Oryctolagus cuniculus: one gene and its partners. The main gene of each other region encodes a partner of the protein of the gene in region 4 in a complex. Links are inferred from orthologs where the notes say so. Each region holds a gene or a part of one and is shown on either strand. Other genes may lie near its edges. The genes, in order: METTL3, ZC3H13, VIRMA, RBM15 and CBLL1.

Region 1 (4,267 bases), on a different chromosome or scaffold from region 4:
AGGAGCTGCTTCAGAATCTCCCATGCGGGTGCCATCTTCTACTGCTTTCCCAGGCCATAGCAGAGAGCTGGATCAGAAGTGGAGCAGCTGGGACTCCCAGTGCCCATACAGGATGTCGGCACTGCAGGTGGCGGCTTTACCCACTCCACCACAGTGCCAGCCCCGATCTGCTAAATCTTAAGGAGATACTCTTTCACCAGCTCAACTGATAACAGTCGTGTGTTTCGCTTAGTCAAAGAGGTGTGGTAGGGCAAGCATTTGGAGAAGTAAGACACTAGTTGGCACATCCACAACCCATGTCCGAGTGCCTGAGTTCAAGTCCTGGCTCTGCTCCCAATTCAAGCTACCTGCTAATCTGTGCCCGGGGAGGCAGCAGATGATGGCTCAGATACTACTCCCTACTACAAATATGGGAGACTTAGACTGGGCTCCTGTCTTAGGCCTGGCCTGCACTAGCCATTACCCCAGCAGGTGGCTGTTTGCTGTCTGTCTCTACTTCTCAAAAAATTTTTTTATTTAAAAAAATAAAAGATGATGTATGCACAGGTCATGGAATCACTAAGGGGGTCTGGATGAGGAGTTTTAGAGTAACTCCCTCAGCTAAAAATATGTAAGAAATATAAGGGACAATTACTATTTATCGTACTTGGAAGACCATAAACAAAATTCCCACATCAAGCTAGACTGTGACTATTACAATCTCTTACGATTCAGAAATCCCACAAGTGTAATAAATTTGAACCAGAATACTCCTGTGGTATAACTAGAGTAAAATATTTACAGCAGCCCAGGCTGGACCAGGCAGAAGCCAGGAGCCAGAAACTCAATCTGGGTCTCCCACATGGATGACAGGGACACATCCACCTGAGCTAGCACCTGCTGCTTCCCAAGGTGTATATAAGTAGGAAGCTGGAATGGGAGTGAAGCTGGGACTCCAGCCAGGATTCCGAATCAGGCACTCCGGTAAGGGGCACAGGCAGCCCAAGCAGTGTCTTAACCACTGAGCCAAAGGCCTGCCCCGCTGCTATTTTTAACGCATGCTTTTTCAGAAAACAAGGTTTTTCAAAAACATACATATAAATGATATGCCTGTAATCAGACTTCCAATCCTGTTTTTGAAATAACTGACAAGATACTTCCAGTAACTGAAGTCTATGGTAAACTAGGAGTCACTTGTTTATGATGAAGGTGGAATGATTATGTTTTCTATATAAAATTGAGATGCATAAAAGAAACAGGGGAAACCAACAGATAGGAAGCAAGACAAAGCCAAAGAAAATTGTATCTACAAAAAGCCAGATTTGAATTTTATAAAAAAAGAAAATTCTCCTTCTTGGGTAATTCAAACTGTGCAATGCTTGACCATCACTTATTCCCTGATCATATAACTTAGATTTTTTCCTCCACTATCCTGCCTTCTTAACTCCAAAATTACTTAAGTTCTATATAGTAATCAAGGCCGAATTTAACTGCCAACTCCCCCATGATAACTTCACTGACTACACCAGCTTTTATTATTAATCTCCATTGTATTAATCACGGACTCAATCACTTGCTATCCTACATATACCCTATTTCTGACTTTAAGCATCTATCCTTGATTCCCAGCTAAACCCTACAGTCCTTGAGGGGCAGGGACAATGTCTCCCTTATTTGTGTCTAACTAGACTCCCGAACACTGCAGATACTCAGTAAGTTATTAACTATGGTGTGAGAATCCTGCCAGTGTATCTTCTAGTTCCAGGCACCAGAATATGCGCACAGGAACCGAATTAGATCAAGACAAGATTGACAATGGAAGCCGATGACTCTGATAAACACTGGCACAAGTTAGTACAAGAGTGATATTCACTATCCTTGCAGAGTTCTGTAATTGATTTGCCTTACATAATTGGCAAATCAATAATTGGTTTGTGCAGACGGATAGGGTAGGACTTGTCAATCTTAAAAAAAAAAAAGTTCCTTCAGGTTTTTGTTTTTTTTTTTACTTTTTTTTTTTCCTTCAGGTTTTATAGCTGTAACTGGGGTGGTGGTGGAGAAAGAAGGGACAGTTTAAAAACTAAGCAAGTGTTTTCAAAGTCTTGCTAAGTATGTGTGAGTGGCTACGTCCACGCGTTTCCCCATTCATTGAGCGACACGAGCGGGCCACTAAAATCATCTCTGTGGGCAATCGCAATCGCAAAGACAGGACCACTAGAAAGCAGCCGCTGGAACTACGTATAAAAACGCGTCAAGGCAGCAAGGGAGCAGGAGGATCGCGGGCCCGGGGCTCAGAGGCCGCACAAAGGCGACGTTCTCGCCGGCTGAGGGCAGGGCCTGGGGTCGCGGATGCGGCTCCGGTGTAACGCCGTGTGAGGCAGCTGCAATGGGGCAGCTGCAAGGGCCGCGAGCTAACCCACAGGAGGGCGAAGGTCTCTGCTACTGAGGAGCGGACGCCTTCGCGAGATGGAAACGCCCACGACTCGGGAGTGTCGGTTTCTCCAAGGACCCCGCCCGCCCTCCCAGGCTGAGCCTCGGCCCCTACAGACCCCCGCCTCACCCAAATGCCCCGAGTCCTGCTTTCGCCTCCGCTGCAGCCTCTCCCGCAGCGAGTCCAGCTGCTTCTTGTGGGCTTGGATAGAGCTCCACGTGTCCGACATCCTACTCTCCCCGCGCGGGCGCGTCTCGAATCAGGCGCGGCGGACTAGCACCTCCCAGGCCTAGCTCCAGGTGTCCAGTTCTCTCGGGGCCACCGGAAGGCTACCCGGAAAGGATCCCGGGAGAGGCGCGAGAATGAAAAGTCACTTCCGGTCTCGCGCGCTAGCTCGGAAGCGAAAACGAGAGCCACCGTAGGGGTTGCTAGAATGACGGATTCGTTCCGGGCCTGATGAGGTTGCGGCGGCCATGTTGGTGCCTGGCAGAGCGGCCATGTTGCTTACAGACGCGCATGCGGCCATGTTGAATATTTAAGAGGAGTCCTGAACCCGGTGTAAGAGAGCGCTCCTTGACCGAAGTTTTAAAACGAAAGGTCACTAGCTCATTTTGACAGTTTGGTACTGACGGGCGTTTTCCACTAAAGGTGCTGTAGATTTTTGTTTCCCTGCGTTCAATTGAAAAATAAAATTGCGGGCTCAGGATGCATGCAAGCTCCCTTAGGGAGGAAGGCTAGTAGAAAAGCAGTATAATAAGGGGTCTTCCAATACGTAGTCTCACTTTTATTAACCAAATGTACAGGTATCACGTATAATTGATTAAAATGGGGTCCGCACAATGGGTCACTCCAGATAATTTTTGAGATTCTGGTTGCACTGTTTCTTAGTGGAACTGGTTGGATGAGTGTATCAGCTTGTGAAAATTAGGGGGGCCGACGCTGCGGCTTAGCGGATAAAGCCGCCGCCTGCAGTGCCAGCATCCCATCTGGGCGCTGGTTCAAGTTCTGGATGCTCCACTTCCAATCCAGAGCCCTGCTATGGCCTGGGAAAGCAGAAGATGGCCCAAGTCCTTGGGCCCCTGCAGCCACGTGGGAGACCCAGAGGAAGCTCCTGGCTCCTGGCTTCGGATCGGTGCAGCTCTGGTGTTGCAGCCAATTGGAGAGTGAACCAGCGGATGGAAGACCTCTACCTCTCCTCTCTCTGTATAACTCTTTCAAATAAATAAATAAATCTTTAAAAAAAAAAAAAAAAACACACATGGGCCGGCGCTGGGGCTCACTAGGCTAATCCTCTGCTTGCGGCTCCGGCACACCGGGTTCTAGTCCCGGTCGGGGTGCCGGATTCTGTCCCGGTTGCCCCTCTTCCAGGCTAGCTCTCTGCTGTGGCCCAGGAAGGCAGTGGAGGATGGCTCCAGTGCTTGGGCCCTGCACCCCATGGGAGACCAGGATAAGTACCTGGCTCCTGCCATCGGATCAGCGCGGTGCGCCAGCCGCGGTGGCCATTGGAGGGTGAACCAACGGCAAAGGAAGCCCTTTCTGTCTGTCTCTCTCACTGTCCACTCTGCCTGTCAAAAAAAAAAAAAAAAAAAAAAAGACACATTTTGGGTGTGCACTTCTCTGTATAGTAACCTTTACAAGTTTGTTTTCAAATTTTTTTTTAATTTTATTAGTTATTTGGAAGGCAGAATGACAGAGAAAGAGAGATCTTCCATCCACTGCCTCATTCCTCAAATGGCAGCAACAGCCAGGGCTGGGCAAGGCTGACTCCGGGAACCTTTAACTCCATTTGGGTCTCACAGGTGGGTGGCAGGAATCTAAGTATTTGAGCCATCATCCAGTGGCTTCCCAGGTGCATTA
Region 2 (3,513 bases), on a different chromosome or scaffold from region 4:
TTTTTTGGTTTTATTTTTACCCTTGGAGATGTACCTTCCTATTCTTACTGTAGGTGGGTAGGTTTCTCATGTATTCTTTTTGAGTTTGGAGTGAATTCATCTTCATAAGGATTTATCTATAGTAACTTTAAGGGGTTGAGGACAGAGTTCACCAGAGTTCTTGCCTTTATTTTTGCTGGCTTTCCTAGGTTATGACAGCCCCTGTTTTGCTTCTTTCCCCTTACCCTTACCTCCCATACTCCAGAAATTTAAGAGAACAGTTTTTTTTCCAAGTAATTAAGGATTCATAGGAGATTGGAATGAAATGTACAAGGAAGCTCAGTGTACTGTTCTCTGCTTTCCCAGTGATAACATCTTACACATCTAGAGTATGCCATCAAAACCAAGAAATTAACACTGCTGTACTCTATAGATCTCATTCAGGTTTTACAGTTATATATATTTTTTGTGTGTGCATGTGTATTTAGCTCTAGGCAGTTTTATCACATATGTAGCCTGGTATTAGCCCTACAATCAGATATTTAATTGTAACATCATAAGATTTGCTGGTGTTACTACATCCATCCCCTCTTCTATCACAGACCCCTGGCAATCTCTAATATGTCCTGCATCTTAAGATTATGTTATTTCAGGACTGTTTCCTAAGTGGAATCATACAGCAAGTATACTGCTGAGATGGGCTTTTTCATTCAGCATAATTTTCTTGAAGTTCATCCAAGTTGTTGCATGTATCAGTAGAGTCTTCCTTGTTACTGCTGCATAGGACTCCGTTATATAAATGTATCATGATTTGTTTATTCATTCACCCATTGAAAGATAATTGAATACTTTGCAGTTTTTGGCTAGCAGAAATAAAGCTACCATGAACATTCATTTCTCACATCTTTTTTTTTCTTTCTTTAAGATTTATTTATTTATTTGAAAGAGTTACAGAGATACCTTCCAACTGCTCATTCACTCCCCACATGGCCAGAGTGGACAGGGCTGGACCAGGTCATTGCCAGGAACTTCATCCAGGTCTCCCACATGAGTGACAGGCCCAAACACCTGTGCCATCCTCCTCTGCCCCACAAGCCATCAACAGAGAACTGGATTGCAAGTGAAGCGGCCAGGACACAAACTGGCACCCACATGGGACGCTGGCGTTGCAGGCAGTGACTTTACCCACTATGCCACCACACTGGCCCCAATTTCCCACATCTTTTAATAAAAATGTTTAGATACATTTAATGTTGCCAAATTACTTTCGTCATTCTATATTCGAGTGCTTTCAGTATAAACTGTGATTGAGTCAATACTACATATCCATATTTCTCATTATTTTCATGTGGTTTCTGTGGATGAGATATGAAGAAGCATTTTTAAATTTTTGTTTTGTTGTTCTGGGGGTATTTTAAATGAGTCTTCTTGCTTTCCGATTCCATTATTACTTTTTTTATAGATGGAGAAAACTGGAACTTAGCTTCCTCAAGTCAGTCATAGCAGAGCTGTGTGTTCTCAGCGGTGCTTAATATTCTTTTCAACAGTGATTACCGCACTTGGAATACCAAAGCAAATTAGTGTTTTCTAGGAGGAAAGATTGTGACTGATGAAACTTGTTGAATAAAGTGTTCTGTGTTAAACAACTGTATGAATATCCTTTGTTTAGGAAGCCGAGGCACAAGAGGTTCTCAAATTGATAGTCACAGTAGTAATAGCAACTATCATGACAACTGGGAAACTCGAAGTAGCTATCCTGAAAGAGACAGATACCCTGAAAGAGACAACAGAGATCAAGCAAGGGATTCTTCTTTTGAGAGAAGACATGGAGAGAGAGACCGGCGTGACAACCGAGAAAGAGGTTTGTCAAACAAAATTTTATTAAATAGTACCAACATTAAATTGAGGATTGCTTTTTAAAAGTTACCAATTTGCTTTTTAATATAAAGTATATTTTAAGACTAAGCTTGATGACAATGTTTGATTGAAACTCTTATACTCTTTGTTCATTAGTTTAGGAAGGTTTATGTAAGTAGCTAGCTACCTGTAACTACCAGCAGCAGAGTACAAGAACTGTGCTGTCCTGCTGTGTGTCTGCCATCCTAACTGGGTAGCTCACAACCCTTTCAAGATGCCATCCCAGGCAATTCAGGAAATAATGGAAGCCTTCTCATGAGTATTATCCTGGCTACTCTCTTTTTAGCCATGAACAATAGAGTATTTTATGGGCTACCAGAGAAGAGCAAGGCTAGGGATTGTTCGAGAAACATTTTACTCATATTCTGGCCTGAGAATATATAATTTTGTATTCTTGTATGTGTTAAGCTAAAAGTTTTCTGTTTATCTATTAGATAATCTTATAAAAGTAACTTTTGAAGTAAGATTGCTAGGAAACACTTTATTCTAAGAATTTTCTTTGAAAAGTTTGTATTGTCTGTATTTAAACATTTAAAATCAGTCTTATCAAAGTCTTTCTAACCTTGGCTGATTTCTGAAGTAAGATTCACTATAATACTGAACTTTGAATAGTATGAAACTTGATGGAGCAGGAAATTGAATGTTGATGCTTTTAGTGTGGGCTGAATCAAAAAGATAAAACTATATCTTGATGTGGGTAGTAATAGGAGTAAAACCAAGTTTCTAAGACACCATATATACTTGAGAGAATAGAGAAGATCAGAGATAGGACAGTCGGTTGGGTTAAGTTCATTAAGGTAAGCCAACTGCATTTGGGTTTAAAAAGGTGAGGACTTCCCCAGTTATAAGTAGGGGTAAAGTTTATTCAGTGTTAATATCTGAAATTATTTCTTCCAGCATTTGATTTATCTCTCTTTAATACTGCATCCTGGTAATGCTTTATTTATGTGTATATATATGTGTGTGTGTGTGTTTGTGTGTGTGTGTGTTGTATGTATATTACTTTTCTTCCTTTTTTTCTATTTTCTTATCCTAGAACAGGTTTCTCTGAATTCATGCCTCAATTCGGTAGTAACATTTGGTTTTATTCCTCTATTTAATTCAACCTAGGTGCCGAGAAGTTCAGTAGTTGTTTTACATATATTCTGTGACTTAACTTTTACAATATCCCAATAAGTATAGGTATTATAAAGTAATCCATGTTTCACAGCTTAGACAATTAGATTTAATTGAAGTTAGTTCCAGAACTGGATTCAAACTCAGGTCTTCTGACAACGGATCTAGTTCTCTTTAACTACTTCAGTAAATATCAGTTGAATGATCAAAATATAGCAATATATTTTTGAGGCTAGTGATATATTCTACCCATGCTAGGCACTTTGCTAGGTACTTGGAGTACAACAGTTCTTGTCCATGGGTTTCTATAAAGAAACTGATGGAAAAGGAAACACCTCCTACTTCCCCCCATAAAAAGAGAAATGATTATTGTTATCAAGAAAACAAAGGACCTAGATAGAATAAAGAATAAGAGAGGCATCTACTTGAGCGTTTGAATGGAAAATTTGAAGAGATATTTACACAGAGGTGTAAATGCAAGAGAAGAAGGTAGCTTTACAG
Region 3 (4,121 bases), on a different chromosome or scaffold from region 4:
AGGCAGTGGAGGATGACCCAAGTCCTTGGGCCTCTGCACCCGCATGGGAGAACAGGAAGAAGCACCTGGCTCCTGGCTTTGGATCAGTGCAGCGCCAGCAGTAGTGGCCATTTGGGGAGTGAACCAATGGACAGAAGACCTTTCTCTATGTTTCTCTCTCTCACTGTCTGTAACTCTGTCAAATAAATTTTTTAAAAAATTTTTAAAAAAAAACAGAACTCAAGGAGAGGCAGGACAACTAACTACCTTTAAAAAAAATCAGTATTTTATATCATCCATAAAAATCCTACTCCTCCTTAAAGACTCCATTCAAATGTGATCTCTACTAATCTTCCCCAATTAACCCCAGAAGAAGGTATTTACTACCTGCCCTATCCTCTCACGGTCATCAATGTTTGTCTAAGAATGAGTGAAAGAGAAGATTAACATACAATGAGTTATGTCAGTTTTCCTAAACTAGAATAGTACTAAATTAATTTATCATACACCTCTATCATTTTTAACTGTTCTCTATTTCTGTACAACAGGTGTGTTCAAAGTTTCAACTACTGATTGCACTGAGTTTTCTTTTTTTTTTTTTTGGACAGGCTGAATTAGACAGTGAGAGAGAGAGAGAGAGAGAGAGAGGGAGAGAAAGGTCCTCCTTCCATTGTTTCACCCCCAAACGGCCACTACAGCCTCAGGCGCTGCGCCAGGAGCCAGGTGCTTCCTCCTGGTCTCCCATGCGGGTGCAGGGCCCAAGCACTTGGGCCATCCTCCACTGCCTTCCCGGGCCACAGCAGAGAGCTGGACTGAAGAGGAGCAACCGGGACAGAATCCAGCGCCCTAACCGGGACTAGAACCCAGGATGCCAGCGCCACAGGTGGAGGATTAGCCAAGTGAGCCATGGCACTGGCTCCAGTGAGTTTTCTAAAGTCCAGCTGTAATAATTATAGCACTCAGCAAGCAAACAGCCCCATAAAATGTGAGATCATAAGCTAATTCATTTTCACTAAAATATGCTAAGCCACCGTTACCCCAGCTTTTGGCTTTTACAGACCTGTAAGCCACTCATTAAATTAAAAGATCAAGATTGCCAATGTCTTCTTTTGCCAAATAAATATTAAGATACAACCACTGTCCACTAGCATCACTATTTCATAAATTAAAGAATATTTTAAACATTTTTTTCAAATGTTTACTGAGCAACTACATTTTGCTAGATACTGGCCTTGGCGCCGGGTGCTGGGTGTAGTGGGTAAAGCCACCGCCCTCAATGCCAGCATCCCATATGGGCGCCGACTGGAGTCCCGGCTGCTCCACTTCTGACCCAGCTCTCTGCTATGGCCTGGGATAGCAGTAGAGGATGGCCCAAGTCCTTGCGCCCCTGCGCATGGGAGACCCAGAAGAAGCTCCTGGCTCCTGGCTTTAGATTGGCACAGCTTCCGCCGTTTTTGCTGCCAATCGGAGAGTGTACCAGTAGATGGAAGACTTCTCTCTCTCTCTCTCTCTCTCTCTCTCTCTACCTGTCCTCTCTGTATAACTCTGACTTTCAAATAAACAAACAGATACTGTCCTAGGCACTGAAGATATTGATGAGAACAAGAGACAGACTATCCTCATGGAGCTTGATTCAAGAACACACTCTTCATAAAAACTTGACGAACCCGAAGAAAGAAGAGTCCTCAAAGTTGTTGAAATTTACATTAAGATGGGGAGAGGTGAGGCTTTGTCCGTCCCGCCCGCACCCCCAACTTCTCTGAGGACGTCTTTGAAGTTCATTTTTGACCGGCCCTCGGGAATCTTTACTTAGCTTTATTCAATTTACATAGCGCAGAGCCGATCATATGGGTAGGGGCACTCAAGTGATTTGGTCCGGAAAGGTTACTCCACGATCCCCGACCGTAACCACCCCAACGACAACAGCCCCGCTTTCGGACGAGAGCCTCACTGCAGTTCTCTCAACTCTGCCCTCTTCGCAAGCATCCTCCATGCACAGGGCTTCGCGTGAAGCATCTCCTGTCCTAACGTGCGGCATCTTTCCCAGTGGAATGCACTAAACTTCCAGGACAAACTGGACAACGCCACAGCCCTACACCGAATACGACTGTCACACAACTCCCGTTAGGAAAGAGACCTCTGGGGAAAAGCTTTAGACACGCCGGGAACCACGAAGCAGGCGTGAGCAGCTGCTCAGAGTCCCCTCACTGCGTTCAAACACAAGATGCCCAAGACCCCTCACCGCACCCCCGCCAAACGCCGCCCGACGCAAACCCGAGAAACACGATCGCTCTCACAGCAAAAGACAGAAAAAATAAAAATAAAAAGCACCCAGGGCAGCCCAAGACTGGAGCCCAAGCGCAACCAGGGAAAAGGGGATGAAGCCTTGCCTCAGAGGCCGCCCTCCTGTCCCAGTTGGGGGGAGGAGGGGTACGTATGCGAGGGATGAAATCGGCACTCGGCGTGGGGGAAAGCCGAGGACCCCTAACTATTCTGGGGGGTAACGATGCCCAGCTCGACGAGCAGCGTCAGAATCCGGCAGCCAAGCCTTACCTCAGCGCTCGGGTGTTTAAAAGTATCTAAAAATAGCAGCTCCATAGCTGAGTCCACCGCCATGTTTGACGCGGGAGGGGGACGGGGGGAGAACTTCCGGGGCAGCGCTCCAACCTCAGCGACGGCGGCTCGGGAGAGGGAGAAACGGCAGCGCTTCCGGCGACCGACGCGCCAGCGGCCCAAGCCTTGGCCTATCCCTTGGCGTGTTGCTGCCTGCAGTCGCCCGCCCCGCCTACTCCAGCGCGGCGGAGAGCGCCCTGCGAGCGCGGGGAGGGGCGGAAGGAGGCGAGGAGGGGACTATGGCGTCTCCAGAGGGCCAAACCGTGTCGTTCCTCCGCGTTACGGAGCCACGACGGCCTTCGGGTGGCGGAGTACCGAGTCGGCTTTGACGCCGACGGAGACGGCGGAGGGAATGCTGCCAACTCTGGATACCTAGCCCAGCACGACCTCAAGAACAAATGAAAAACCATTCCTGCGCTGGGAGCAGAACATGCAGAGAGCGGGTTGAAAAAACACCTAAGAGAAGAACCTTGTCTCAGCGAACGAAGAGATTTTCTCATCTGTGCAATGCGAAGAAGGCTAAATAGAAATAATTGAAATAAAAGCCAAGGAATTATAAAAGTGAAACGCAATGAACAGTAAGCCTCCTTGTCCTTGAAGCAACTGGAGGTGTATGACGCAAGCCACCTTGGTGGTCTAAGTTGGCACAAACCCCCAGGGCAGCAATGAGGAAATGCCTAGTGAATTACGGGTGCCACCCCTCTTCCAGGAATGTTCTTGCACCCGTGCCAAAAGAAGCAAACATTCAAGAGTGTTCATTGCACACTTTATTGCTGCAGCAAGAACTGGAAATTTAGTGGTCCCGATAGGAAGTAGCAAGTTAACGGTACTGTATGGATGTAATAATAACATAGCAGGTAGAAAAAATGAACTAGCACAAAATTTACTACTTTAGATAATCTTTTTTATTAAGATTGATTTATTTAATTGAAAGGCAGATTTACAGAGACACAGAGAGAATCTTCCAACCACTGGTTCACTCTCCAAATGTCTGCAATGGCAAGTGCTGGGCCGGGCTGGAGCCAGGAGCTTCCTCCAAGTCTCCCACATGGGTACAGGGGCCCAGGCACATGGGCCATCCTCTGCTGCTTTTCCCAGGCACATTAGCAAGGAGCTAGATCAGAGGTGGAGCAGCCAGGACTCCAACCAGCACCCACGTAGGATGCTGACAACTCAGGCAGCGACTTTACTCATTGCACATAACACTAGCCCCATGGGTAACCATAAGAAGGGATTAAACCCAGGCTTAAAAACATTGTAGTATAAAATAAAATGTAGCTCAAAAATGCAAAATCATAAATTTTTAGGGACATTCCTATGTTATAAAATTATTTTAAAAATGTATGGAGGTGGCCGGCGCCGCGGCTCACTAGGCTAATCCTCCGCCTAGCGGCGCCGGCACACCGGGTTCTAGTCCCGGTCGGGGCGCCGGATTCTGTCCCGGTTGCCCCTCTTCCAGGCCAGCCCTCTGCTGTGGCCAGGGAGTGCAGTGGAGGATGGCCCAGGTGCTTGGGCCCTGCATCCCATGG
Region 4 (3,513 bases):
TCGCAGGCGGGATGGCTGGTCCTTGGACCGGGACAGAGGCGATCGAGATCTGCCCAGCAGCAGAGACCAGCCCAGGAAGCGAAGACTACCTGAGGAGGGCGGAGGACGGCATCTGGACAGGTCCCCTGAGAGTGACCGACCACGGAAACGGCACTGTGCTCCTTCTCCTGACCGCAGTCCAGAATTGAGCAGTAGCCGAGACCGTTACAACAGTGACAATGACCGATCTTCCCGTCTCCTTCTCCTGGAAAGGCCCTCTCCAATCAGAGACAGACGGGGCAGTTTGGAGAAGAGCCAGGGTGACAAGCGAGACCGTAAAAACTCTGCATCAGCTGAACGGGATAGGAAGCACCGGACAGCTGCTCCCACCGAGGGAAAAAGCCCTCTGAAAAAGGAAGACCGACCTGATGGGAGCGCACCCAGTACCAGCACTGCTTCATCAAAGCTGAAGTCCCCTTCCCAGAAACAGGATGGGGGGACCGCCCCTGCGGCAGCTGCTTCTCCGAAACTCTGTTTGGCCTGGCAAGGGATGCTTCTACTGAAGAACAGCAACTTTCCTTCCAACATGCATCTGTTGCAGGGTGACCTCCAAGTGGCCAGTAGTCTTCTTGTGGAGGGCTCAACTGGAGGCAAAGTGGCCCAGCTCAAGATCACTCAGCGTCTCCGTTTGGACCAGCCCAAGTTGGATGAAGTAACTCGACGCATCAAAGTGGCAGGGCCCAATGGTTACGCCATTCTTCTGGCTGTGCCTGGAAGTTCTGAAAGCCGGTCCTCCTCTTCCTCAGCCACGACAGACACTGCCACCTCTACTCAGAGGCCACTTAGGAACCTTGTGTCCTATTTAAAGCAAAAGCAGGCAGCTGGGGTGATCAGCCTCCCTGTTGGGGGGAACAAAGACAAAGAAAACACCGGGGTTCTTCATGCCTTCCCACCCTGTGAGTTCTCCCAGCAGTTCCTGGATTCCCCTGCCAAGGCACTGGCCAAATCTGAAGAAGATTACCTGGTCATGATCATTGTCCGTGGTGCGTCCTAAAGTCCATGTGTATCTTGTATTTACTACTTTGACATGGTTCCTGTTTTGTGATGTGTAATGGGATACAGCATCAGATAACTTTTTTTTAATTAGTTGTTTAGTTGTAGCTTTTTCTTTTTTTATATATTTTTTATAAACCTCTTTAAAATAGAAGTCAGGACAGTTTAGTTATTATTTTAAATGAAAGGGACACCACAAAGGTAGCAGGCAGACAGATTGGTTTGCTTTAATTAGGAGTTCCTGCCTTTATAAGTAACTTCTTTCCTTTGTCTTGAGTTTTTTTTTTTTATAACCTTGAACTTAAAATAAAAAAGTCCTCAAAGTTACAAAACCAAAATTTTGAAAAGTTTGGCATTTGGAGAAAAGAATCCACTGACTATTAAGCTGGTAATATCTAAAAACTGCTTGACTGGTATGTAAGTAAATAAGTCCTGTACCAGAAGTAGTTGTGTGACTAAAATTTGATCAGGGAACCCAAAAGTTTATGCTAGTAAATGTGTAGCAATATAATTATTTAAATCAGGTATTTGAGTATTTCTCTTAAAATACAAGTTATTCCCAGAGAATTGCTTTACCATGCATTTTTATCATTAGTTGTTGAGTTCTGTATCCCCTATATGCACTTTTGGTTTGTAGCTGTAACTAACTGTTCAGTAAAAGTTGAGGACTATGTTACAAACCATTGGTGTCTTATGCTTACAATAGTATGCAAGAAGTGAGTAGGTGCTTTTAAAATCAGAGTTCTTTGGTCAGTTATTGGTGTGTGGTTGTGTTTTTACTGACTTTTTCAGAGAGGTATAGCAGGTATAATTCTAATTGTGCATATTTCAAAACTAAGTGTTCTTCATCAAAGATGAGTGTTTTTGTATCCATTCAAATTTCTGGTTTCAGTAATAGAAAGAAGAGTTGTCTGCAGGCTCGTAAGTCATCTTCTGTTTCAGTGGGCATTAATCAGCCATATCTGGATTGCAGAATCTTTTTTTTAAGTCGTGGTCTTTTAAATTTTGCTTGCATTTTTATTTTCATATTTGCCCAGTGATTACATAACATTATTGAAAGTTTTTGGAATTTCATGCTTAAAATTTTCACTGCTGTCCAGCCACAGATTTGAAATGTCAATGTGGGAAAACCCTTTGTTATTGTTTTATTTTCCCAGACACTTGGAATTAATACAGAATTTTTTTTGAGAAAATTTTTTCAAAGCTGATGATGGTATCACCTTCTGGTTCTTAACAAGGGGTTTTGTTGCTTAACAGTAATGATCCCCCCCCCCCCCTTCTACCACAGCCTTTACTTTCTCAGGTCATTAGTAAGTATATTTTTCTCTTTTGATATAAATGTTGAGACCTTTGACTCAGGCCCTTGATATTTAATTATGATTAGAAGCTCTCGGACCTCCTGGATCATGGTCATGTTTCTATTCTGTGAAAGTGACTTATTCAAAGCCTGGCAGAACCCAACTGTTCTTTCTGTTATCAAAGCTGGTAGTTTTGAAATAGCACCAATAATAACCCAGGGAAATGTCATATAATTTTTATTTTCCATTATGACAGGTGTCTAATGCATGTCAGCATGAAAGCCTCATCACTACTGTGTCATTCTTTTTGGTTATCTATGCATTTATGATTTTTTTTAGGTTTTTTTTGTTTGTTTTTAAACTGGAAAAACTAGCCATTTTGAGAGAAGGAAGGTAGGAAGGTACTAGGCTATGAGCACAGAAGTCCTTGATGTGCGCTTTAGGAAAAATGTCTGATATCCTACAAGTAGGTTTTGGTGCTTTTTCTTTCAGAAAGCAGTACTTGGCATGAAGTAGACACCTGTTCAGAAACTAATGCAAGTAGTCTGCATACATGGGATCAAAGTACAATTTGTGGCTAGATACATTTTTCCAGTTTAAATATCTCACTAACCATTAACTTTTGGATATCTTTCCATATGGTAGCAGACAAATGATTTTGCTCTTTCAGAGAGTGAAGTCCATGAAATGTAATATTACTATAGTCCAAAACGTGTGTGGTTTATCTCTTTTTTTTTTTTAAAGTTGGTGTGACAGCTTACTGAAGAGTACTGTGGTTTTTTTCCCCTCATGTTTGTTTAAATTCGTATCTGACATTGCTGCTTTGGTTAGACCTGGGCAATTGTGCTTCAATGTTTTGAAACAATGACTTGATACCATTTCTAAATGTATGTATAAGAAACTAATTATGTTAGTTTGGTGCTTACCTGCAGAGTGCCATCATCCAGATGAATCTTTTATTTGTGTTGCCCATTCTGTTGTGCAGATTTATAATATCTGTAAACTATTTACTTAAACATTCAGAATTTGAATGAAAGCAGTTGTCTAAACATGGTTCTAATCTTCATTAGCCAGAATTTCATAATCTCAACATTGGATGTTCTTTGTAACAACCAATTTTTTCTTTTTAAAATTACATTAATTTTTTTGGGGGGGAGAACTCAATTGAAATGAATGGGAAGGA
Region 5 (4,059 bases), on a different chromosome or scaffold from region 4:
GGGTCCACACCCGGTGCGGGACACCGACCGCCGCTGCGGAACCGGGGCATGGAGTGGGAGGGGTGGGGTGGGGGATTCCAAACCGTTACTCCGCCCGCCGGGGTGGGGCCGGCCCAACGGCCGAGACTGCGCGGTGGGCCCGGCCGACTCCACGTCCCCCGCGCACTACAAGCCCCAGAAGGCCTCGCTGCACGGGGGGGCGGGCCGCCGCCTCACCTGCCGCGAGCTTCCGCCTTCACCTATTACCGTTCCCACTCCCCGCCCCCGAGCCTCGGCCCCGTCGCTGTCCTGTTTCCACACTTAAAGGCCACTTCCTGTAGAGGCACACGCGAGGGGAAGCCTTGGCACCCTCGGCAGCGGAGCTCTCCCCGTACTATGCCCGGCCTCCTCACCGGAGCGCGGTAGAGGGAGGCGAGAGAAGGAAGTCCCTGCAGGCCAGAGCCTGGGCTACCTGCTCGCACTTCCGCCCCGCGGGCCCGGAAGGCAGCGCGCACGCGCTCGCTGCGACTCCGGCGCGGCCGACTTCCGCTCCCACTGTGCCCCGCGAGCCGAATCATGGATCACACTGGTAAGGAGGCGGAGGCAGTGGGGGTCCCTGTTTCATGCCCCCTTGGCCGGCCTGGGACTGGTCGTCCGGCGGGCGAAAGGGATTCCTCTCGCCCCCTAGCAGTGGAGGGTGGCGGTGGGAAACAAACCCCACAGACCCCTTCCCGGGCCCGGCGGGGCCCTGCTGCTCCCCGGCCTACCCTTCCCGTGTGGTACCTACATCCTCGGTACCGGCAGCAGCCTCTTGTTCTGCTGAGCTCCGCGTCGGCACTGCGGGCGGCTCCGGCTTGGTGGGGAGGGAAGCGTGCTGGCTTTTTCCCCCTTCTTTCTCAGGCTTGCTGCTCGGCCCTGCGTTATGGGGCTCGGGCGGCTAGCGCCAGTCCCGGAGTTGGATTCGCCTCATTACGTTGGGACTGGATGGGCGAGGGTGGCTTGGAGACTTCCTGCTGTCTCTGGCAGCTTTGGGCGGGTGCTGCCGCGGCCACCTCCTGCCGGTATTGTCGCTCTGCTCCTTCGTGGACTAGGCGTTACCGAAGGGAGTCGGATGTAGTTTTCGGGATCACAGTCGGAGCCCGTAACATGGCCCGCGCCTGGGCTGTGGCCCTTGCTCAGCATCATTTAGGGGCATTTGCAAAGGAGCTCTTAAAGCCAAGGCGTTCTCATCCCTTTCTCCAAGTAAGAGTGGCTCCACCCTTTGTTTAAGTTTTTTTTTTTTTTTTTTTTTTTTTTGCCTTTGGCTTTCTCTTGGGTTTGGGATGTTGAATGAGTGCACTTGGCGTTAGTAAGTGCTCCGTTGCGGATACCGACGTGATCACAAGTAGCGGGGAAAAGGCATTTTCTTGCCTTAACGCACCGATTGGATGCCCGCAGTCATCAGCCGTCTACTTAAGTGTATAATTGTGTCTCTGTGTGCGCGCGCGCGGTTGTTTATGTATTGTCAGATGCTTAGAGACACCTGCTGGTCTGGAGACGGAGACCCTCTTCTCATGAAGATCTATCCTAGTGGGGAAGGTAGACAAAATAGTTGTTGTTTTAAACAATATTTACACCCTCTTGAGTGCTTTGGAAGTAAATAAGCGGGTGCCGTGGAGCCCGGAGAGGGTCTCTCTGGCGAGGGAGCGTTTACGCTGGGATCTGGTGTGTGAGAAGGATCCAGCCGTGGAGGAAGGAGAGCATTTCCAGCGGGAGGAAAAGCGGAAGGGCCTCCGGGGTTGCCTGGTTAACAAGAGGGGAAAAAGAGCCCCCGAGGTGAGATTGGAAGGGAAGGCAGAGGCTGCGTTGTTCCGGACTTTGAAATCCGTGGGAAAGATCTGATTTTTCGTGTAAGCGGATAGATATAGAGTAGTGTGAGAGAAGGAGGGAGAATAATAGAAGATAGCACGGTTAGAAGGGGACTGCAGCACGCCTGCAGGATTGGGTTAGCGAAACTAAGAGGAACAGGCAGATGGAATGGACATTTTTGTGGTGGAACTTGAACTTGAACGGGTGGATTGATTTTGGAGGTATCTGAGAGAAAGGAGAAGTGCCTCAGCTTCTGGCTGAGTCGCTTGGTAGTGCCTGTTAACAGAGTTGGGGAAAACAACTTTGTTTTTTTAAAAGGAGGGACACGGGAATTTGCGAACAAAAGTTTGATTTTGGTTTGCTAAGTATGAGATGTGTATGAGACACAGGAAGAGGAATGTCAGTAGGTCAGAGGGAAGATTTCCACCGAAAACAGCTATTTGAGGATTAGTACCTTTAACTCCTGAGGTGGATGGATGGGTGAAGTCCCTTGAGAGTGACTATACAGAAGACCAGCCTAGAAGCAGGCTCTCAGGAACTCCAGTGCCTGGAAGTTTTGTAGAGTTGAAACTCAAAAAAGATTTTGATAGTTGAGTATCCAGCATGGAAATTTTGTAAAGTATTTCTCATCTGAGAGTCAAGTCCCTGCCACGGTGCAGTGTATTACTTTAGGAAATTGTAGTATGGGTGGGTGTATTAAATAAGAGGGTATTTGTTCTAGTGTTTGAGCTGCCTGAAGAAGTAGTCATTTTAAAATAATAGCTGAAGAGCTGACCACTAAAAAAGTAATTCCTATTCAGATCTCTCTTCTACTTAACACTATTTATATTTCTTCATGAATAAATGTCATTGATGTTTCATGTCAGAAGATAGTATCAAGTTGATTGAGACAAAATTACCAGCCTTGCAAAAGATGAAACTTCATAAAGCCCCTAAACAAGAATTTGATCACCGTTTGAATCAGAAAAGAAAGCTATTGGCAAAAGAAGTGCCAGTTAATTGAAGACATAGGCATCTCAAAAGGATTGTTTTAATATCAAAGGATTAAGAAGTCCACTGGACAATAGATGTCACCTTGAATATTATACGAAAATGGCCCATTTAATGATCATGCTGAAAAGCTCAAATGTCAAGTTAAAGTGTTCTAATGGAATTTTTCAGGAAAAATTACTCCCAGAGATTCCTAGTTAACAATTGATTCATTCCTTGAACTACATTCCTTGAATTAGCACTTTGTAAAAGTAACAAACTCTGAAATATTCATGGCTCCTTCAAGATAAAGTCCTAAATCTTTTTATGATGTAAAAGTAGTGTTCCTGTTTAAGATGGATTCACCTTGAATGGTCGATTATCCTTAGTTTTCACTTTCTGAGAACTACCCAGACTTTCTGTTGTCATGGGCTTCCTATATTCTGTTACTGTATTCCAAAAGGGAAGTTGTGTGAATGTTCTGATTCTTAAACCAAGAGTGTTGTTGTTCACTACAAAATGCTTTATGAACGTGTACTGTGTGAGGCAAACAGCAAAGTGTTAAAAGCGACAGCAGGCTTTTGAAAGTGGGAGGCAACGTTGGTGTTCAGGGTGGTGGGAAAAAGTAAAAGTAATAGGTGTTGGTATTTTCATCACTCACAAAGGCAAAACCATTAAGAAACTTTTTAGTATCTGATGGGCAGTGTTAAACTGTTATCTGTCTACAGCAACTTTTTTTTTTCTTTCCTGTATTGTATCTTTTTATGTACCTGAAAAAAGGCAACACTTAATGCTTACCATGGAGTTGGTTCCGTGACTGATGCTCCTATTGGTCAAGGAACATGGGAATTTATTTCATGGGTAAAACGCAAGCAGAGACTTCAGGAAGTGACAAGTCATTTAATAAAAAACTGTCACTTGTTTAGACCTAGTTGAAGTCCAGAAAGCTTGCTCCCTCCTAAAATTATAATTTCCCATTCAATACTAAGAGTAACTCAGTCCCATATATATCCCTAGAAATGTTACAGCACAAATACATTTTAACATGTTTGTGTTACTCAGTGCTATAAGAATTTTTGCTGTGTTCTTGAATGCTTTCTACACTTCAGGAAATAATCACCTTCCTTGAAACTAGCTTCCATTTTTAGATTCATTACTTACTTTTGCTTTTGTCGCTGTTAGTTTTGTGTTTCCCTTTTAGTTTTCTAAAGTTCTTGAGTGCTTGCTTTGCATGCTTGAGATCAGTCAGAGAAGCAAGGTGGT

What was found.
Region 1: RBM15 (region 4) and METTL3 share a complex: the UniProt entries of both Homo sapiens proteins name them as parts of the WMM complex. The link is inferred for Oryctolagus cuniculus from reciprocal best matches to the Homo sapiens genes RBM15 and METTL3.
Region 2: RBM15 (region 4) and ZC3H13 share a complex: the UniProt entries of both Homo sapiens proteins name them as parts of the WMM complex. The link is inferred for Oryctolagus cuniculus from reciprocal best matches to the Homo sapiens genes RBM15 and ZC3H13.
Region 3: RBM15 (region 4) and VIRMA share a complex: the UniProt entries of both Homo sapiens proteins name them as parts of the WMM complex. The link is inferred for Oryctolagus cuniculus from reciprocal best matches to the Homo sapiens genes RBM15 and VIRMA.
Region 5: RBM15 (region 4) and CBLL1 share a complex: the UniProt entries of both Homo sapiens proteins name them as parts of the WMM complex. The link is inferred for Oryctolagus cuniculus from reciprocal best matches to the Homo sapiens genes RBM15 and CBLL1.

What each region holds. Positions count from the first base shown.
Region 1 is NC_091443.1:53,431,527-53,435,793, reverse strand, and holds the start of METTL3 (N6-adenosine-methyltransferase catalytic subunit), read right to left. Parts: upstream 2,814-4,267; 5' UTR 2,640-2,813; coding exon 2,540-2,639; intron 1-2,539. UniProt on the Homo sapiens protein: The METTL3-METTL14 heterodimer forms a N6-methyltransferase complex that methylates adenosine residues at the N(6) position of some RNAs and regulates various processes such as the circadian clock, differentiation of embryonic and hematopoietic stem cells, cortical neurogenesis, response to DNA damage, differentiation of T-cells and primary miRNA processing.
Region 2 is NC_091440.1:65,049,248-65,052,760, reverse strand, and holds part of ZC3H13 (zinc finger CCCH domain-containing protein 13), read left to right. Parts: intron 1-1,648; coding exon 1,649-1,840; intron 1,841-3,513. UniProt on the Homo sapiens protein: Associated component of the WMM complex, a complex that mediates N6-methyladenosine (m6A) methylation of RNAs, a modification that plays a role in the efficiency of mRNA splicing and RNA processing.
Region 3 is NC_091437.1:119,962,009-119,966,129, forward strand, and holds the start of VIRMA (protein virilizer homolog), read right to left. Parts: upstream 2,810-4,121; 5' UTR 2,596-2,809; coding exon 2,533-2,595; intron 1-2,532. UniProt on the Homo sapiens protein: Associated component of the WMM complex, a complex that mediates N6-methyladenosine (m6A) methylation of RNAs, a modification that plays a role in the efficiency of mRNA splicing and RNA processing.
Region 4 is NC_091438.1:59,998,477-60,001,989, reverse strand, and holds part of RBM15 (RNA-binding protein 15), read left to right. Parts: coding exon 1-1,022; intron 1,023-3,513. UniProt on the Homo sapiens protein: RNA-binding protein that acts as a key regulator of N6-methyladenosine (m6A) methylation of RNAs, thereby regulating different processes, such as hematopoietic cell homeostasis, alternative splicing of mRNAs and X chromosome inactivation mediated by Xist RNA.
Region 5 is NC_091434.1:136,465,557-136,469,615, reverse strand, and holds the start of CBLL1 (E3 ubiquitin-protein ligase Hakai), read left to right. Parts: upstream 1-1,254; 5' UTR 1,255-1,406; coding exon 1,407-1,557; exon of another isoform or gene 1,558-1,794; intron 1,795-4,059. UniProt on the Homo sapiens protein: E3 ubiquitin-protein ligase that mediates ubiquitination of several tyrosine-phosphorylated Src substrates, including CDH1, CTTN and DOK1. Targets CDH1 for endocytosis and degradation.